Linked DNA regions of Bombyx mori. The protein of the gene in region 1 interacts with the protein of each later gene in a biochemical or structural test. Links are inferred from orthologs where the notes say so. Each region holds a gene or a part of one and is shown in the gene's direction. Other genes may lie near its edges.

What was found. The genes of interacting proteins can lie anywhere in the genome.
Region 2: the proteins of DNA repair protein XRCC1 (region 1) and uncharacterized protein F21D5.5 form a complex in vitro, tested with the Homo sapiens proteins (3 studies listed by BioGRID and IntAct, with this or other methods). The link is inferred for Bombyx mori from reciprocal best matches to the Homo sapiens genes XRCC1 and PNKP.

The regions. Positions count from the first base shown.
Region 1 is NC_085124.1:493,638-504,458, reverse strand, and holds DNA repair protein XRCC1, read left to right. Parts: upstream 1-3,758; 5' UTR 3,759-4,211; coding exon 4,212-4,262; intron 4,263-5,442; coding exon 5,443-5,553; intron 5,554-5,866; coding exon 5,867-5,953; intron 5,954-6,312; coding exon 6,313-6,480; intron 6,481-6,932; coding exon 6,933-7,128; intron 7,129-7,488; coding exon 7,489-7,748; intron 7,749-8,111; coding exon 8,112-8,211; intron 8,212-8,273; coding exon 8,274-8,421; intron 8,422-8,497; coding exon 8,498-8,670; intron 8,671-8,941; coding exon 8,942-9,147; intron 9,148-9,261; coding exon 9,262-9,387; exon of another isoform or gene 9,388-9,393; intron 9,394-9,702; coding exon 9,703-9,840; 3' UTR 9,841-9,890; downstream 9,891-10,821. Other genes in the region: uncharacterized protein LOC101737274, read left to right, coding at 1,712-1,723, 1,965-2,720. UniProt on the Homo sapiens protein: Scaffold protein involved in DNA single-strand break repair by mediating the assembly of DNA break repair protein complexes. Negatively regulates ADP-ribosyltransferase activity of PARP1 during base-excision repair in order to prevent excessive PARP1 activity.
Region 2 is NC_085114.1:7,135,828-7,146,706, reverse strand, and holds uncharacterized protein F21D5.5, read left to right. Parts: upstream 1-4,006; 5' UTR 4,007-4,284; coding exon 4,285-4,417; intron 4,418-4,680; coding exon 4,681-5,384; intron 5,385-5,600; coding exon 5,601-5,870; intron 5,871-6,977; coding exon 6,978-7,127; intron 7,128-8,356; coding exon 8,357-8,562; intron 8,563-9,353; coding exon 9,354-9,477; 3' UTR 9,478-9,492; downstream 9,493-10,879. Other genes in the region: acetyl-coenzyme A transporter 1, read right to left, coding at 377-559, 1,109-1,228, 1,427-1,778, 1,891-2,180, 2,260-2,469. UniProt on the Homo sapiens protein: Plays a key role in the repair of DNA damage, functioning as part of both the non-homologous end-joining (NHEJ) and base excision repair (BER) pathways.

The DNA.
Region 1 (10,821 bases):
CGCTCGGAACTGCACGCTACTTATATTAATATATTCAATTGTACGTAATATGCTATTGTAGAAACTTCGATTCAGTTCATTAACGCTAACACCTAATAATGCATCACTGCTAACGTCACTTTTCAACTACATACTTCTCCCGGTTCTGTTCCGGGCGGGCTCGAACCCCCTGGTTCAGTGTATGGGAGTCGCCGAGTGGCTCCGTTAATTAGAAACCGCCACACCCGGCGCGTTCTCTCGAGCCGTGCTCAGTTTCGAAGTCATTTGGAAGGAAAACCAACTTGACTTTTTTTTTGCTTAGCTGGGTGGACGAGGTTACAGACCACCTGGTGTTAAGTGGTTACTGGAGCCCATAGACATCTACAACGTAAATGCGCCGACTCAAACCGAAACGCATTACTGCTTCACGGCAGAAATAGGCAGGGTGGTGGTACCTACCCGCGCGGACTCACAAGAGGTCCTACCACCAGTAAAAATGTTGACTTTTGACTTTTAAAATGTTGGGAGTTCTCAAGAGAGCGAAAGAAAGAAAGCAAAGCACAGGTTCGGCAATGCGTGGAGTACTACTCTCATCCCTGGACCAGGACCCTCCAGTACATCTATTGCAGAAACAGGTTAATACAGAAGAGGGTCGTACGGATTACTCTATTCTAAGGCGCACGTGGAACCTCCGACCCTCGGTTCGTTCTGTGTAAGTCACACAGTCTACTCAAAGGAAATTGAGGGATTCTCATTCATTTGGTGCTCTAAGGTATTTTTTGTGATAAACCTCATCAACTCATTACTATAGCGCCACGGGAGTAGCCGTAGCGTCCCCTTCAAACAATGTGTTAGAAGAGCACTCAGCATCAGCCATAGATGATCTTCATGAGCGATGTCGATCACTCACTGAGCGCTATGCCTCGTCTTCTGCCTTCGTTAGACATTTTTATTTTTATACGGAAATACGAGTATTCCTTTTAAATGGGTTCGGATATTCATCCACAACTAAATGGTTCAAAACGTTTCCGCTGTTAATGAGAGAACATTATTTTATAAAACCGGACAATTTACGATTTGATTTGTTGTTTTTACGTCATTCCGCCTTCCAGCACGAGCATGAGGAAGGAAACTAGCTACAGCGCTGTCAACTTCATGCATTTAAATGTAAACATGTATCTAGAACTATAAAGAGAAGCTACAACAAAATTTCTAGAAGCTGTATAGCCATTGTACCGTAACTGAAGACTTAGAATATCTCAAAGTGAGCGGAGGCATTGATGCTGCTATGAGCTGCTGAAACCGTCTAAGAACAGGCGGGTCATCTTAGATAAACACTTAAAGAATGAACAAAATAGAATCTATTACAAATAATTTAAACTACAAATCTAGGTTACACCATTTTTAACTGACTTCAAATACAGATTCTAATAAGAGAATTCTAAATTGGGTACAAAATATGAGACTTGATACTCTAACAAAGATTTGAAGAGAAGACAACATAGATATTTCATTAAGTTTTACCAACCGATCTAAGTTTATTTGTGTTTTTCTATTACTATAGATTAGACACAGACACGAGAGCACAGTAAAGCAATACACTGTCACACTTACTATTTCCTCCATGCAGCTATGCACCAAGCTCTGTACTGTAACTGAAATGTGGATACGCGATACACACTCGTTGCTGGCACAGTTGCCTTCAGGTCGACCAGCCGGCCGGACCACAGACATGGACAACATTGTAAGTTACTATTAAATACTTAGAAAAATTAACGGTAATTATGAAGGCGATCTTACAAATAGTCATTACTAAATTCAAATTTGGGAAGATAAACTAGGATATCTGTTTAAAAAAACAATGCAAGTAAATATGCATTAATTAGATGGACTTCGAAGTACCCGGTGGGCTTCAGTAAATGTACAAAGGCTTGGTTAAATTGAAGAATACAAATTATTTGTAAATAGCATACTTATCGTCACAGATCCCGTGGTTACTGCTCGCTTGCGGCTGGGCGCGCTCCGAGCTGCTTCAAGATTTTATCCAGAAACGCAGTAATTATGGTGTTTACGCCAAGGACTTCTCCCAGGACTACGAGCCATATGTCTTCGCCGCCATTCCACTGCACCCGCCGATGCCGGTCCTTCACGTGTTGTCTCCGTCGCCTCTCTCAGCACCCAACAGAGACCTCCATCACTCCGCGTCCAAACATCATTCGGCTTACTCCAAGCCGAGCTACCATACTCATTACAGTACACCTTCGTTCTCCTCGTCACAATACAACAGACCTTCTCAGGGAAATTCTTTCTATGGGAAAACGTTCTCTTCGTCTGACTTCTCTTCCCTTACGTCACCAGACTTCTCCAAGCTCTACTTTCCTACACACACAAGACCATCTTTCGTGGAATACCCACAAACATCTTTCTCTCATAAAGAGTATCCACGTCCGCGTCCTTACGAATATCCCACTTACGCTGAATCTACGCTCTCTGCTGAGACGGACCTTGGACGTTTATATTCATCATCCGTTCCATACTCGTACCTAAAATCTCATCACAATTCATATGATTCAAGCCAAGAGTCGTCTCCGACGATATTGTACGCTCAGCCTACAGCGCTCGGAGGATATTCTTACCACAAAAAACCTACCAAGAAACGAAAGATACTGCCAAAGAAAAAAATTCCTACGGAATCACCCGTCATCATACGCGTGCACAAACACAGGATAACGAGAAGCTAATATTATTTAAATTACTTAATTTATAAATAGTGATGAGATTTATTTAGTTTCGTAACAGTCTGATACCAATGTAAATAAATTTACATTTATTGACCTTAGCTAGTTTAAGGCGTTTTAAATGTGTGCATATTTTAAAAAATAATTTATAACTTTTGATTGTAACGTACCTAGACAGAAAAAAAACTAGGTTACGACTTATGCTCGGCTTATTCAATTGTTATGTCAATCTACTAAGTCTACAACTTTAGCACATAGCTCGTAAATATCTATTTATGAAATAAAATAAATGGAATAATAATATCATTATCCTCTTGATATAGAAAAACTAAAAAGTTCCACTCCACATACTGTAACGCAAATATGTTATAAATTTTACTTTCATCGCCAATGCCGATTAAAAACAATCGGAAGTGGAAGAGTGAAGAGGAGTCGCGTGAGTCCGACGCAGTCACGGACGGGAGCCCGCGCCTCGCGTGCTTGAAATGATATTGTTCACTTTTATCATTTACAATATTATTAATGTCGTTCTGACAAAAGTCATTTATTCAATATATAATAATAATAATTTAATATACAATAATTTAATAATAATATTTTTATTTATTTATTCAAATTAGTTTATTCACGCGCCTAAATTTTATTTCGTTTTTATATTAGATAGACAAGACCTGATATTAAGTGGTTAGGGGAACCTGTAGATATAACAACGTGCATGCCACATCAGGTCAAAGTCTAATAATTTTCACAGCTTTTATTAGACTTAAACGTAAGTTTCCCATTACAAAAACCTAAATTCTAATAAAATATCAAAGAATAAAGTAAGAAGGAAATGCAAAATAAGATGCGAATTAAAATTTATTGTGTACTTAACGAGTAACGACCTACGAGTAACCATAGACTACACGCATAATATAATAAACGAGTATCTATCAAACAAAAGTTTCTCCTTGTTTTTTCTTTATAAATTGCATTTGGCTTTCGTTAATATACCGTTATTTATACATTGAAGCACAGATAATAAATTACTATTAAGCCTATTCATTAATATTATTACACGTTTAAACACAGAACAGCCACGCTTAAACGCGTTTAAACTAAATCTATCTTTTCAATAAAGTAAAAAGCATACCTTCTGTCCTCATTAAACCTATCAATCGAAGCAATAACATCATTATCATCACTTTTTATGTCACAAACATGGCTTGGGGCTTTTCGTTTAAATGATTTGGCTGTATGAGGTAAATCCACGATACCGGTCCGACGGATGAAGAAAAAAAAATTCAATGTTTTCTAAACAATATTAATAATTTAATTTCGATTTTCGACCGAATTTAACGAACCAACTATAAATTATTAAAAATTTTTTTTTTTTTTAAATAACTCATCATAAGTGACCGTTTATTGTTAATGTGCGTTAAGGGTAAAACAATTATCTTTATCAAGTACTATAGGGCCAAATTATTACATGTTCCTAAATAAAGGTGTATCGCTATGCCGCGCGTGAAAATTGATTACGTCGTTAGCTTCAGCAGCGAGGATCCTGTAAGTTTTGATATTAATCATAATCTAACCTATTAATTGACAAAAACCAATGAGTGATATTGAAACCGTAGTTGAATTTTTAAATTTTGCTTGAAACATGCCTACCTGATCGTAAGTGATTGTTCCCGGATGATAAATTACTAAGCCCTACCCACCGCCCACCACGAAGCACGGGATTGTAACGATATGATGATGACAGTAAGCCAGGTCATCGGATATTTTTAAATAATGTATACCTTTGTCGTATTCAAAATGCACCAAACTAGTCTCACTTTATAAACCAGGCCTCTCTCTTTAGCCATTTAAATTGAACTATATGAGGAATGTTGATGAACTCATTTGGATCCAAATTAATGTTATGTGGCTGTTTTTAAACTCGATTTATAGAAGAAACCGCAACTGCTCGATACATCTACCTTCTGCCCGGAGTAATCGTATAGTAAAAATCAAACCAGCAAAATTATAATTTGCGTAATTACTGGTAGGTACCACCACCCTGCTTACTTCTGCAGTTAAGCAGTAATGTGTTTCAGTTTGAACGGTGGGGCAGTGGTTGTACTATAAAAACTGAGACTTTAGAACTCATCTCTCAAGGTAGGTAGCGACATTTACATTGCACATGTCTATGGGTTCCAATAACCACTAAAACCAAGTGGGCTGTGAGCTCGTCCCCCCATCTAAGCTATAAATAAATAAAGAACTAACACAGTAACAGTAACAAAAAAATACTACACAATGGCATCCATGTCATATAGACAAAAGTCAATTTCATATATTTGATCACAGCAAAGTATGAATGGGAATCAAGAGTTGAAAATAAAGTTATCATAAATGTAATGGAAAGTTATTTTGTACTTAATGAGCATGCAGTAGAACCCTAATTAATAAAAATATAGTACAGTTTTATTAATTTAAATTCAAAAATTTCTAAGCCATATAATTTTTTTTTTTCTAAGCCCACATAATATCAATGTTATTAGACTACATCTTACCCCTGGTAACCTGCTGCTTTAGTGTTTACTTACAACTATACCACAATTCAATTCTTTTATTTGGGGTCTGGAGATACTTATTTTCATCTCAAATGTGTTCTGCCATCCATAACACAGGAGAAAAAAAGGGTTTGGGTAATGTTCTTTGTAACATGTATAGCATAATAGTATCTTTGCTTCTCTACCAGGATCACCCAGCTAACAATCTGTTGGCATTGGAAGTGAACAAGAAGAAATGGCTGTGCTGCAAGGGAGAGTCTTCCTGCTCAGTCGTACTTCAGCTGGCCAAGGCAGTCCAGGCAAGCTCTTAACAAACATGATCTATTAAAATCTTAAATTTTTTCATATTTGTAATTTTGATATACAAACCTACGATACAAAAAGGGCATGCTGAAATGTAAATCTGGTCTATAGTTCTATACCTTGTTCTAAATCACTCTTTTCTATAGTTTTTGTATATTTTGATTATTTGTACTCGGAAATGGGTTTCTTTGTGGATATAATAATGATATATCAATAGACAATAGTCAAGATAGTTTTCTTATATAGTGTATGACTTCAACTTTCCTCAAGTAAACCTGGCAAAAAAACCAATAACATCTTAAAAATCAGATATCATCAGTCTATCTTGGTGTGCATCATGCTGCTACTGTGGAGGTGCTCGTTGGAAGATCTGAAAAACCTGATGAACCCTTTGAGGTATGTTTACTCAACTGTTAGGGAACTTTGCATTAGGGGTCTTGTAATTGATGAATATCTAGGATGCTTAGGAGGGAACAGTTTCAAATATGGAGGCTTCTAAAATAATAGTGTACTTTGGAATCACTAAAAAGGTTACATTCAAAAATGTAGCTTTACTCTGGTTATCATCATATCTGAAGATGTCAACAAATGTCTTCACCATGAATAACAGGGTCTATAATTTTATATAAGAATAAAAATAGGATTGAAAAACTCAAGGGATCATGTAGGGCATATCCCGGCACCCGGCTGCTTCTGCTGCCCGTCGCTTTCAAACATAGATATTGACAGTGGAGTGACCGGAGAGACATGCTCAGGTACTGGTCCCCAGCAGCGTGATGTTGTCGCCCAGCGAGTCCCGGCGCGCCGAGGGCGTGCAGCGCGTGCGGGCGTGGCGCGGCGACCAGCTGGCGGCCGCGGCCCGGGGGCGCCGCTGGGACCGCCTGCGGGTCGTGTGCGCGCAGCCCTACAACAGGCACTGCCAGGTACCATGCGCCCCGGTTGCCCTAATAACTATCTATCTAACTAATATTTTATAAGTAATATATAATAAGTATTAAACACTACTAAAACCCGCGGTCATGAGGATCGCTAATAGTAAAACATAATTAAATTTTTTAAACATCATTAAAATAACGTAGGGTAGGACGTCCTCCTGCTAGATAAAGTGACGACCTGCGCAAGGCAGCTGGCAGTAACTGGATGCGTAGAACCGAATATCGGGTTCAGTGGCGAGTTTTGGGGGAGGCCTATGTCCAGCAGTGGACTGCCGCAGGCTGATGAGGATGAATTAAAATTGTTACATTAGGATATAAAAATAGTTTTGCTGTGTCTTCGATTCGCGAGACCTGGCAGAGATGCTATTGATGATATTCATAAGAGTACATATTCATTTTTATAAAACTGTTCATGGCTTCAAACTAATATAACCTTTCAGTTCGGCCTCTCGTTCTTGCACATCGACGAGCCCGGGGACGGACCCCCGCCCGCGCCGCCGCGCCCCCTCGCCCTGGACACCTTCTCGTCGGACGAGGAAGAGTTCAAACCTGGGGAATTATTCGCTAAATACTACACCCAGAAGGATAGTCCGCTGAAACTGGGGGACGATAAAACTAGCAGCCCGGCGAGTACAGGTAAATAGGTTTTAAACTGAGCGGTGTTGTCAATAAGGTCGATAATTCAACAGCTGCCAATTCTGAACCACAATTTTCATGTTCTTGGATATAATGTTTATAAATGAATACCTAATATTAGTCAGTTAGGAAACGAAGTTCAAACACGGTTCAGTAGAACGGCTTGTCGCCCCGGGCTGCCCCGGCCGGCGCCGGCACCCGGGGGCCGCGGCACGTCGGTGTTTGCCCCGGGGTTGCTCTATAATTTTATTTATTTACAATATAAATTTTATTTAACTTAATATTATTTCCGTTTAAACTTTAGACGAGTGCTTAACTGCGGGTACGTCTCGCAGCTTTCATACAGAATACAATTTTCAGAATCCCAAATACACAAGGCGACGTCCCGCGCGCTCCGCAACGTTCCCGGGGACTCCCCCGCCGCCTCCCCCGGCCTCAGCGCGGCGGCCACACTCCGACAGAGCAAACAGAACAGGCCGGCCGGGCGGCGCCGCTCCGACAGCGACGGGGACGCTCGGATGCACGATGAAGAGGACACCAGACACCATGCAAAAATAGACCAAACCGTTAATAGACATAAGGGTGACAAGATGACCGATGACAATAGCGCGGGGGACCCGGTGAGCTAGATTTGTCCACCAGATGCAGGAGCGGCGGAAGCGGCGCGGAACGCCTGTCGCGTTGTTGCCGGGAATATATATTTGGTTGAAGGACGGGCCAACCCGCGGTGAACAACCCGTTGACTTCACAACGCGAATGTTGCCTGAGACGTGAGGTCGAAATGTCAATTGTATTGTATAATAGCCTTCTCGTTTATAAACTGGAATACGGATATAGGCAAGACGGCGGTACCCAGTGTCCGTAAGTCGCCTTTCGACGACCCGGCTCACGGCTTGCGGTGACGAACAGACAAATAAGGCTTATCCTATTATACTGTATTAGTCATCAGGGGTGATACTGATGTCCATATTGTGTGATCACAGAAAGAAGTCCAGAAAAATATAGACAATATATCATCGAGAGCAAAGCGGGTGAAGCGAGACGACAGCGCCGGGACCGCGCCCGCCCCCCGGGGACAGCTCGGTGAGTCGCCCGGGCCGCTACACTCCACACCTGACCGCTGGTGTCATTAGTATATGTTACAGTCGCGTGTGTCGCAGCGGACGTGCTGCGCGGCGTGCGCTTCGTGCTGAGCGGCTACCAGAACCCGCTCCGCCAAGAGTTGCGCCGCGAGGGGGTCGCGCTGGGGGCGCGCTGGGAGCCCGTCTGGGGGCCCGCCTGCACGCATCTCATGTACGTGCCCTCCGACCTCCCGACATGTTGTAATGTCCGTTGTGCCACGTGGAGTACAGCGTCGTGTCGCCGGCAGATGCGCGTTCCCCAACACGCCGAAGCTGCAGGAGGTGCGGCGCGTGGCGGGCGGCGCCGTGCCCGCCGTGCGCGCGGACTGGCTGCGAGCGTGCCGCCGCGCGCGCCGCCGCGTGCCCTGGCGCCCCTACGCCACGGAGCCGCACCAGCGCACCGCACCACCACACGCTGCAGGTTCACGCACCACGCCGACAGTTCGATTGCTCATTCATTAATAAGAACAGACGGACGCCGCTACCAATATTTTTAAACCACAATACAAAATTAATTATTATTATTATTTTTTATTTCCTTTGTAGGCAGACCAGCATACGGCCCACCTGATGGTGAGTGGTTACCGTCGCCCGTGGACTTCAGCAATGCCAGGGGCAGAGCCAAGCTGCTGCCTACAAATTAGGCAAAAATGTAATTAAAACGTAATTTTGACCAATTACTTGTCGTCCAGAAACTGACGAGTCAGCGGACACCGACGAGGAAGTGCGGGACCGCGGCCGGGCGCCGAGCCCCCCCGCCGGCGCGACAGGGTCGAGGGGGGGCAGCGGCGAGCCCGACGTGCAGTTCGTGTGCGACGAACGAGTCAAGGCGTCGCTCGCGGTCGAGTCGGACTCGGACGAGACCGACGCTGGGGCCGACAGCGGCGCCGAGCACGCGGCACGTACACTCTATTACTAACGGATTAGTTAGTAATAGAGCTCGTCCACACATCTAAGCAATAAAAAAAAAAAAAAAATTACTTTTTTTTTAAATATTAAGTATTGTTTCCAGATAGACGACAGCAAGTCGCTGCCGGCGTTCTTTGAGGGAGTAACGTTCGCGGTGGAGGCCGGGGACACACAACTGCGGGCGCGCTGCTGGCGCTACCTGCGGGCCTACGGGGGGCGCGTGCTGCAGGTCGCTCGTGCTGCAGGCACAACAATATGACATGCCCTTCTTCAAACGAGGCTTGTAGAGAGTACTTAACGATAGGCAGCGGCTTGGCTCTGCTCCTGGCATTGCTGAAGTCCATGGATGACGGGAACCACTCACCATCAGATGGGCCGTATACTCGTCTGCCTACAAGAGCAATAAATTTATATTCTTATATTTATATTTATATAAATTTATATTAATTCAAAATAGTTAAAAAATTTCATGATTGTCACATTTCCTCTATGATTGGATAAATATACATATTTTCCTAATTTTAAACAAATGTACATTTTTCAGAAGTCTCAGCTGGATGAGGACAGCCGCGTAGATTACGTGGTGTGCGACGACGGCGCCGCGCCGCGAATCAAGGGCCGCGCCGTCACTGCAGCCTGGCTGTGGAAATGTCATCAACAACGAAAACTGTGTCCAATATAACGACAGCTCAACTTGTGAATTCCTTTCATTAAATAACTGTCAGCTAACAACGCCTTTTCTTTCACAAATCTCAGTAAATGACCACCATTTTACTAAGATCCCATATCATCTCATTTCATTTAATTTCATTCTAGTTGATTAGGGTCAATTCCCACTGAAAGAGCAGCGGCCGGCAGCGTCTTTTTTAGGCAAAATATTACAAACTATTTTGAATCTTATCTACGTGATTAAAAAGTTCATAGTCATTTGAAGGCAAAGGAGGGGTAGCGTGACGTCGCGAGGCTGCACGAGCCTTCTACCGACTAGTCAAAAGAGGCGCCGCGCGGCTGATCGCGGCGCAGCTAGCTGACGTGCGGCCGACCGCGGTGCAGCTAACAGACTCGCGGCTGCGCGCGAGCGACCATTTCATACCCGCCCGCCCTGCCGCTTACGCATTTCGCGTCATTTTATTAGAGGGTATCAAGTTAGAACGTGCTACGCTCCGTGAGAAAAAAATGTACCCAAAATTTTCTTTTCCTTTTTCTTTCCGTTTTGTTTGTTACTTCTTGTTCTTCTTCTACAGCCAGTGCTATGATACATAAATCCAAATCCACCATATTTATTGCCACACAACTTTCCTTGAGTGAAGTAGATCGCACACTAGTTTTCAAAGCTACTACGCGGAGGTTCATTGCGGCGCCTCGGGATGCCGCGCTGCCTCTCGCGGCGCCGCACTGCCCCGCGCGGCGCCACACTGCCCCTTGCGGCGCCGCGCTCAATCACTTGCTCTTACGGCCGCTGCGCGCCGCTGCTCTTTCAGTGGGAATTGACCCTAATGTCTCAAATTAATCATCTTCATTTTATTTCATTTCACTCCATATTATCATTTTTCATAAAAATAAGACATGACTTAAAGGTCTTAATTACCAGTTCATAAAATCCCTAAAAAAATTAAAATTAGCAGAGATAATACCTACAATATTCTCTTGTACTCTGTGTTTC
Region 2 (10,879 bases), on another chromosome or scaffold:
ATTGGAAATGGCGTAGGATAGGACAGACCCTACAGCGCAGCAGTCAATGCAGTATCAATCGTGTTTGAGTAGCAACCGTGTGGCAGGAGAAGACCTGGTCGCCCTGTACACACTTGGCGACGCATCATGGAGAACGAGACGAGGTCTGTCGACGTGACCTAGAGTGATGTCCAGAAGCAAGCACAGGACAGGGGTCAAGTGGAGACAACTTGTGAAGGCTTTATGTACCAGCGGGGTACCCTATGACTACAACAACAAAATATTATTTGGTATCATCTATCTACATATGAGCAGTAAATAACATAATAATATGATGTGAACTTGATGTAGTAATCTCATTATACAGGTAGAGCTAAAGAAATATTTTTAAACAAACCTGATGAAAGACATACAGTAACATGAGTATGCTTAGATAGGAGTATGAAGGTCCAGAGTCACCAAGCAGTGTTGGTGTGAAGGCTACAAGGGCTGCCGCTAGAGGACCAACCAGTAGCCTCAATGGGAAAGCCTTTAACCAAAGAGACAGTGGGGCTGGTCCTGTTGTGTGTTTAGCCAAAATCTGTAATTTTACAAAACTTTTACTGCAAAACAATCAAAATTTATAGTATATTGAAGATCATTTACATATTTTGGTTAAAAATCAAATTTAGTTAAATCAGGGATATTAGATAATTCATTTATTAATCAATGTATTAAATAAATAAAAAATTATGTGTCAGGAAATCCTCCGAAATGAAAAATGGTTTCAATAAATTATTACATTACATAAAATACTTATTATATCATATGGCAATTTTTTATTTATTGCATAGATGGTGGACGAGCTCACAGCCCCCCTGGTGTTAAGTGGTTACTGGAGCCCATAGACATCTACAACGTAAATGCGCCACCCACCTTTACATATAAGTTCTAAGGTCTTAGTATAATTACAACGGCTGCCCCACCCTTCAAACTGAAACGCATTTCTGTTTCACGGCAGAAATAGGCGGATGGTGGTACCTACCCGTGCAGACTCACAAGAGGTCCTACCACCAGCAATTGATCATTTATTGAGAAGACAAAAACTAAAAAGTAACGATATTCATTCAAAGAACTTGAGACTACTTACAACTGGCATTATGATCTGTACTGGTACCAAAGGTACAGCCAGTAAAGCTAAATCTTCACGTGGGACACCGGCTTCAACAAGCTTCAAGCCTGATACTGCATCTGCCGCACAAAAACCAAGCTGAAACAAGAATATGCTAAAATACACAAATAAGTAAAATCATATCTATTGATTTAGTGAATCTATCCATTTGAAGTTATTCAATAATAAAATGTTTCTTATAAAACAATTAAGTTATATTACATATTTTACATGAATTAAATGGATAGTGTCTTAAATCACTTTGGATTTCATTTAATTAATTAAAATATTTCTCACCTTAGCAGTGAACAGAACCAAAGCTAATTTACGCACTGCTGGTAATTTCACAATTGTATACAACTGTTTGTAAGCACTAACAATATCATTTCCTCCCTTCACCTGACCACTTGCACTGGTATCATTAGCTTCATGTTTAAATATAGCTATGAATGTAGTCGTTATAATGAAAATCCAACCCCAAAATAGTAGAAAACTTGACAGAGTCACTAGTCCAGTCTCCTGTGGTTCTGTTCGTAAATATTTGTTGCAGAAATATGGAGACTCGAGAGCCAGAAACATTACATATCCCAAAAAAAACCCAGCTGTTTGGCCTACTGTATTACATGTCGAGGCATGTCCAACATTACACCTGAAAATTAATTCATAAAAAGAATTACAATTCTTAATCAAATCTTACATTCAAATTCCAAATCTGTCAATTTCATCTTTTTATAATATTTATAATTAAGCGATTGTCATACCTTTTCAACATAGTCAAAGCCCAGCCATCAACAGCAATATCTTGTGTGGCCGCTAAAAAATTTAATAACAGAAAAGATACTGTAAGTATTGTCATTGAAGGTGGTTCCCCATCAATTCCCAGCCAATCTGTGACACAATATGATACTATAATCATTACTATTCCAATCAAGTACTGGACGGGTACAAGCCAAGTTTTTCTTCTTCCAAATTCAGGCCAAAACATTGCATCCACTATAGGAGCCCATAATAGTTTTACACTAAAGGGCCAATTTACTAAACTAAATTCAGCCTGAAATTTTAAAACGGATATAGTTGAAATGCAAAATATTACCTTTTTATTATAAAAAAAAATTCTTTAGAATACTGACTTGTTGCGTGTACGTTATGCCTTTATTTTGTAAAAGCATTGGGACAGCTCCAGCTAATCCCAGTGGTATACCCTGTAATGTGTATAGGAACAACAAAACAGCTATGTTTAGTTCATCCCCTTTAATGTTACTTCTTCCTTCGTTCGGCGCGTCTCCGTTTTCAATCAATTCCTCATTTTCCGGTGAATTTTTGCGCTTTGTTAAAGTCATAATTGCTGCTCTTATAGCCTAAAATACATCACAAATGTTCTAAAGTGCCAATGTTGAAAAAACACGTCAGTAGAATTTACTCATTCCAAACCTTAATGTTTGCTGTTTTGAATCAAGACCACACTGAAAATAATTTTTTTTTCTTAAAAACTGACTAAATCAATTATTTCATTCACCATTTAAAATTTTTAGTACAGTTTTAATAAAAAAATAACTATTTATTTAATATTAATAATCTGCACGATTACCACGTACATAGTAGCACATACGTACCTAATATGAAAATTGAAATTGATTTGATGAATGAAACATAGTATTACAGGTAGGTTTCGCGTATTAACTAGTGTATTATCTATGACCATGTTTCTTTTTTGGAAACTGACATCTCTTAGTGATCTGTGGCATTGTAATTTTTTGTTTGTGTGATTCGTCCATTAAACATGCAAAGAGAACGTAGCCAATACAGAAATTCTACCCGAAGTTGTTTCCACTTTATTAAGCCTTATTATTATCATCTAATCTGGTGGTACGACCTCTTGTGAGCCCACACGGTACCACCACCCCGCCTATTTCTGCCGTGCAGCAGTAATGTGTTTCGGCTTGAATGGTGGGGCAGCCGTTGTAATTAAACTGAGACTTTAGAATTTATACCTCAAGGTGGGTGGCGCATTTACGTTGTAGATGTCTATGGGCTCCAGTAACCACTAAAGACCAGGTGGGCTGTAAGCTCGTCCATCCATCTAAGCAATAAATAATAAAAAATAAAAAAATCCGGAAATGAAAAAACGTGGGGCCAAATTCAGCGAGCCTCCGTCGTCTTATCCTAAGCAGCTAGAGATGAGTTATACTAGGTGAATCAGATACTAGTATTTGATTTACCACAAGCTCCTAATTTTAAGAAATACCTAATCCATAAAATCTTCCTAATATCATTCACAACCAATACTTTACTAAGCAAGCAATCTCAATCTGCCTGTTCCTAATCTCAAGTTCTCAGTACGTTATTAGGATTTTAAGAATACGAAGGTTAGGTGGAAAAGGTAGATTATACATATTGGCAAAATGGGATTAGGTGCAGCCTAATCTCGTAAAATACCTAATACTTGGGTCTGTTCTTGTAAATCTGACCCATCTCTATAAACAAGAGTCACTTACTGTCACTTAATTTTTTTTAAGGGATTTTGTGACCTGGTAACTAAGACCTTTAGGTCAAATCTTATTTTAATTTTAATAAAAACTTTTTTACATGAAAAATGATATTATGAAATGAAATGAAGTTGATTAATATGAAACATGGCATGAAATGAAATGAGATGAGATGATATGGGATGAAATATAATCTCAGTAAAATGGTGGTCATTTACTGAGACTGTTTCAGTGGACTTTTTGGAGGATCCCGAGAAGCTACGTTCAGCGGCTTTGTTTCATTTTCTCATATTTGTGCACTTTCACAGATACTAAACAGTTAAAAAAACCACCTCTATTACATATTAAACCTGAAGAAACACTAAATAGACAAAATAAAACAAATCACACAACTTCACTCCTCGCGTTCCCGCCAACAAGTCCTGTCACTTTATGTCATTTGTCATAGATAATACACCTAATTTAATTTCTAATTTTTCAAAAAATCTATACCTAAATGTACTTAAATAAATCTGCGAGCCTTTGAACCTATCTTGTTATATATTATAATATTAAACCGTGTTAAGTACCAATTAAAAAAAATAACCATGTTTGTTAAATATGCCATACAAAAGTTAAATTCATAAAAACTATGTTAAACGCATTATTCATGCTGTACGTACTATTATCATGTCTCGTTTATGCTTTTTGAGATGTTTGTTAGATACACATGCGCCTATTAAACTTCCTCACAACGTACAAATAATTGTAGGGCGCAATAAAGAAACAAAAATTAAGGATCAGTCATGTTCTAGACAGCAGCGTAAGTGATAACTTCAATTGAGAAACCCTATTTATTGTGCCAATGCATACTTTGCTGAACAAGCTTTATTGCAATATCTTGAATAATTTTCTTTTACGTCAAATCATTGCATATTTTTTAAAATTATTTGCTTAGATTAATTTACATACTTTAAATTTTTATTTATCCTACATAATTTCGCGTTGATAAATCAAAATCTTAAGTTGATACCTACCATAATTGTGTTCTACTTCTTCTAAATGCTTGTTATTCTTCATTTACAGTAAGCTTAAAAGCAGATTGTGAAAAATGTCATGTAGAGATAAAACAACTAGGGGTAAACGCTTCTGGGTTAGATGGTTTTGCTCTTAAAAAAGATGAAGTGTATGAAATTGGACATGGATCAACAATTGAGATTTTATTAAACAATCATGTGCATATACTTGAATTTGATCCACCTCCTGAAAGCCTAACTACCTCACAGAATCAGACATTCAAAAGGAAATTGGAAGATGACAGTACATCTCAGAGAAAGAAATCATTAAAAGTGGAACAAGTGTCATCAAGTGTAAAAGAAAAAGTTGAAAAAGTTATTAGAGATATGTGGGATGAAATAGACAAAGGTGAATTGTATGTGTTTACAGCTAAGGGAGTGAAATCTAGTGACAAAATAGCATCTTTTGATATGGATGGAACCCTAATCAAGACAAAGTCTGGTAAAGTTCATCCGGTGGACATAAATGACTGGCAAATAGCATTTCCTTCAGTGCCCCAAAAACTGAAAGAATTTTTAGAAAAAGATTACAAAATTGTGTTATTTAGCAATCAAGCCCCTATTGGTAATGGTAGAGTTAAAATAGAAGACTTTAAAAAGAAGATTGAAAGTATTGTCCAAAAATTAAATGTGCCAGTACAAGCATATATAGCAACTGGTAAAGGGATTTACAGGAAACCTAGAATTGGAATGTGGATGACTTTGACTGAAAAGGTATAGTTTGAGTCTGTTTAATCTCATATTTATGATTAAATTAAAGCATTAAAGCTGTCTTGCTATAAGAAATACAAATCTCTAATATTTTTAAGCCTTCACTTAATTTGGGCTTAGCCATTTTGACAGAATTGGTAACTACATAAACCTATAGTATACTGACCTAAAAGAACTAGGCATATTATGAATTTTATGTTAATTTATTTTCTTTTACAGAAAAATGATGGTGTCAAAGTTGATATGAACCAAAGTTTTTATTGTGGAGATGCTGCAGGAAGGGTGGCAAACTGGGCCCCTGGTAAAAAGAAAGATCACTCCTTGGCAGACAAACTCTTTGCTGAAAATTTGGAATTAAAATTTTATACTCCCGAACAATTCTTCTTGGGACATTCTATTGCTAATGTGCTAATGAGTAAACCTGAGTTTCATCCTAAAGAAGTAACTGTAGAACCTTTTAATAATAAACTAATTAGCAAAGATAAAGAGGTTAGTCAAACTTCATTCAAATATATTTTAAAATTGTTTTTTTAATTGGATTTTAAACAAAAGACATTCTAAAATAATATACAATACTGGTGTTATTAATTGCTCTAAAAAGATATTAAGGGTTATTGGAACTCACAGACATCCTATTGTGAATGCTGCCACCTACTGTGAGACGCTAGGTTAATGTCTTTGTTTGAGCTGCTTTGGTTAAAGAAATCTAAAGTAGTCAATATATATATAATTATGCTTAACTAAGCAAATAAATGTTGTTTTTTGTTCAAGTTGGAATCACATTATTAGCAGTTTTGGCTAGAAGTTCCAACAATAATGGTTCACTCTCTTTCAACATTTTGAAACTTTATTTTTACTTGAGGTTGAGTTTTAAGTTGAGTTTTACTGCAGATTTTAAATTGATGAAATATTTCAAAGTTAATCAAAATATTGGTTTTGCAAGTGTTCCAGAAACCGAAAATGCATACCTTAATTTAAGCAGATATATATATTTAGTTGCGAATCAAGTATCATTTAATAGTGTCTCATGCAAATGAAATTTACGTTAAATTAATAAACGTTACACAGTGAGAGCACTTATGAAACTGATGAAGTCCTGCTGCGACAGCAATACAGCAATTCCTACAGTTGAGCATTTGGAATTAGCGTTCTTGTGTTCTTTGCTTGTAGACTGTACAGCCGTGATTGGCCCACGTTTATTTCCCAAATTTTATTTCAGACCCACAGCACAACCCCTGTCCTCCTATTTTTCTGAAAAGGTGATTAGTCACCGAGTAATGGGTAGCAGCATTCTCGGACCTATTATACCAGTACAGTGCGATCTGTATTTCGACATTTATTATTTATAGAGCATTTTGTGAGCCACCACGCATGAGTATATTATACTGTCTATTTCTGCCATATAACAGTAATGCGATCCGGTTTGAAGAGTGGGGAGACCCATTACCCAACACAATTGAGACTTATACCTCACGTCCTACGGCAGATAGCGCCATTCAATACTTAACACCTGATGGCCAGTGAGGTTGACAACAACAAAAGAACGATAAAAATAAATTTCGTTATAACGTCGTTATAAAAAAACTTTCGTTATAGATACTAATTTTAGTTGGATTTCCTGGTAGTGGAAAATCTTATTTGGCAAAGCAGATTGAAACTAAATCAAATCACAAATATGCGACTGTGTGCAGAGATATTCTAGGCTCATGGCAAAAATGTGCTGCTGAAGCCACAAAATTGTTGCAGGTAAGTCAAAGTTCGAAGGCAAATAAATATAATAAGCTTACTTACTGGTAGTAGGGTATTTTATGAGCTCGCCCAGCGTAATTCTGCGGTGAAGCAGTAATGCGCTTCGATTTGAAGAGCGAGGAGTGCTATATTTACGACTCGTATCTCAAGATGGGTATTAGGCGACATTAACTTGATTGATATCTATGGGCTTTAAGAGAAATTTAATGAACCATATTTTCAGGCAGTCTTTATGTTCATTATCACCAGCTGTCCACTTTATCATTATCAGTAATAATGCAATTAACAAATAGCATTGTAATATTACAATATTGATTGAAATTTTAATTGAAAGTCTTATGGACACAATCAGATAACATTTTAATCTAATTGAACGGGTAATAGGTTGTGATTCGTATTGACTACATTAAATTTCATAATTATGATATAGTCATTTTAATATTTTATGTTCATTATTATCAAGGTTTCTTAATTAAGAATTTAGTATATTCTTAAATGAGGGTAGTTTTTTTTTCGAAAGTATATGTGTGATATGATTAAAGTTCTTTATAATATGTTTTGTTATTTAGCACGCACCCTGTATCCATAAAGAGCTTTATGGATTTTTATAGATTTTGGAATATCTTTAGCTTTGTCTTAATTGGGTGTTTTTTTAATATGTTTTAGTCAGCCGTACACCTGTCATTAATTAATATGTGTAATGGTATTAAAAAAAGCTAGGAAATCATTTCCAGATGACGTATTGGTAGTCTAGTAGTAATTCTATTTTCCAACAGGAAATACGAAGGTATCGCACCATATATTATAGCTTATTATTTTATATATTCTGTTATATAAAAAATAATGTAGTAAAAAATTATTTGGATGAAATGAGGTCAAATTTACTTATTTGAGATTGTAATCAATTGGGATGAAATTATATGAAACGGTATGAGATGAAATGAAATAAAGTCTGTAAAATGGTGGTTATTTACAGAGATTTTGGTGAACATTTTGGAAGAACTCGAGAAGCCAGATTTTACGACTGTTTCAAATTTCCACATTTATACACTTTCACAGATGTTAAACCGTGAATAAAGCAACATACGTTTAAGCCTGAATAAACACACCAAATTAACAAAATAAAACAATTAACATAACTTCGCTTCTCGCGTTCCCGCCAAAAAGTCTCCCTGGCAGTATAGTATATAACCTCTTTATAATAAGAAAATGTCTTTTTTTTGCAGCAAGGAAAAAGTGTCATAGTAGACAGTACGAATCCGGATGTTGAGTCTCGTTCCCGTTGGACATCACTCGCAAAACAAAATAAAGTAGATTGTCGTTGTGCTAAAATGGCTACTTCTAAGGCCCATGCGCAACATAATAACAAATTTAGGGAACTGATGAAGATCAATCATGTTCCTGTTAACGATATTGTATTCCATACCTACAAGTGAGTGCATTACTGTTTAGCTAACTCAAAAAAACACAACGCCCACTGAGTTTCTCGCCGGATCTTCTCAGTGGGTCGCGTTTCCGATCCGGTGGTAGATTTTGCGAAGCACTGCTCTTGCTAAGGCCAGTGTTCAGTGTTGCCAGATGACTGTGTGAATTTCCCCCCAACTTTTTTCGAAAACCCCCCGAAAATAGGCTTTTTGAAGAAAAAGACCCCCAAAACAGTCTTTACTTATTTTAAAGAAGAAATAAAAAACCAAAAGGATTCTTTTATTTTTTTATCAAGCTGTCCCTTTAACTTCAACCATCTCTAAACAATTATTACAATCAGATTCACTTTCGTTATTATTATTTAAAGCATACACGTTTTCGAAGTTAAAGATATTTAACATGTCCGATGTGGGAACAAAATTTATGGCTCTATTTGGCAGTGAAAATCGAATCCTGAGAACCGCTTCGGCAGTTTCTATTGCCATTTGGTCGCATAATTTGTCCTTTATAATATTGACTTGTGAATAGTATAGTAGACTATAATTATTCTAATAGTAATTGTGAACTGTGTTTGTGGATGAATTATTGATACCTACAAAACCTCCGAAATTTCTAACTAACTTTTTCCCCCCAAATATCCCCCCAAAGAATCTTTCCCCTGTGCCTACTAGCTCGATGAATCTAAGTTACTAGAATTTGTAGAAAAAAAAAACAGAACTCAAATGTTCATTTTCCATAGACAATCGAAAACACAATTTGGTAAAGAAAACTTTTTTAATAACCATTTTTTCACAACAGAAACAAGTTCACTGAACCGTCACCAAACGAAGGTTTTAAAGAAGTAATTGAAGTGAAATTCAACCCGTGCTTTGAGAGCGAAGAAGCTGAAAATTTATATAGAATGCATTTGTTAGAGAAATAAAGTACTTACCCAAAATATTAGATATTTTTTTTTTCCACCCGGTGTTCGACTTAGTATCAGTTGAGTTATTCAAATATAGTTTGATTTCTTTACAGTTTTTGCATATACATATTTCGTTGCAACTTATACTTACCACTGTCATGTATGGGATGAAATTAATCGTATGAAATAGGTTAAAATAATCATAAACTTGATTTAAAAATAAAACCATTTATTCGAAGACAGCGAGTTTTTATTGCGATTAAGTTTTAACAAATAACTTAAAACTACTATCATTTGATTTATTGTATTATAATATGTAGGCCTATTGAGTTTGAAGCACGATAAATACTGACAAAAGCTTTTTTCTTAAATTTTAGAACGATTATTTTTCTTCTCTATATAAAATGCCACCACATCATAAAACGTGTACAAAAATATGTATTTATATAATAGTTTTTTACATACATATATAAAATAATAAATGAATACAAATAAACTTTTAATGATTTTGGGTGTTGAAGTGAAAGCCGGTAAAACGAAAAATCGCCGTATTTTTTTTAAATCATAAATCCTTTTATGATCAAATTAAGCGATTACATTTCAAAATTTATAAAATTTTCATTACTAATAGTTTGTGTGTTCAGAGAACCTTTTTAAACTCAGAGTTTCTAGAATTAAAAACGAATACTTTAAATACCTATAAAAATATTTTTAATATTTGATCTTCTGCCCAGCTATCATAAGTATACTCGAGGAAAATCAAACTCTCTCCAAACTAAGTCGGTATATAAATTCTTGAATCCCACTATTTCGTATTTTGGGGAACATAATTTCTGTATAGTTAGTTTAGTTTTTGTATGGAAATTAATATCTCTGGGAATATTCGTTGCCTTAGAAAACTCTGTGTAAAGTAATAAGCAAATTGTAATTACTGGCATACTGGATACCCTAAATATTAGGGGAAGGTCGGGAACAAACTGTTCATGTCAAGGTAGTTGGTGGTTTCTGCCGACTAGTAGTGTTAATTCTGCGAGGACATTATGGAGATTGATAATTTTGTGTCAATAACAGATCACTCGTAACTCTTCTAACTAGACCCGGGAAGAGGTCATTGGCGTTGTTACACAAGGAGACACTGTAGGGTACTGACATGCCTCAAGATACTTAAAAGTCAGGGACTTCGTTGCCAAATACTAGAACGATATGTTGTCTGTATTTGTTTTAATTTAACGATTAAGAATATCTACAAATTTCGGGACAGTATACAATAAACGATGGGTCGAGGGCGGTCTTTGCTGATCATATTTGTTTCTGAGATTTGGTCGCGCCATATAATATGGTAAATAGCAATATATGATGAAATATGAAACATTAGAATCGTGTGCTGAATGAACTAATATACATTACGTTGGTATTGCCG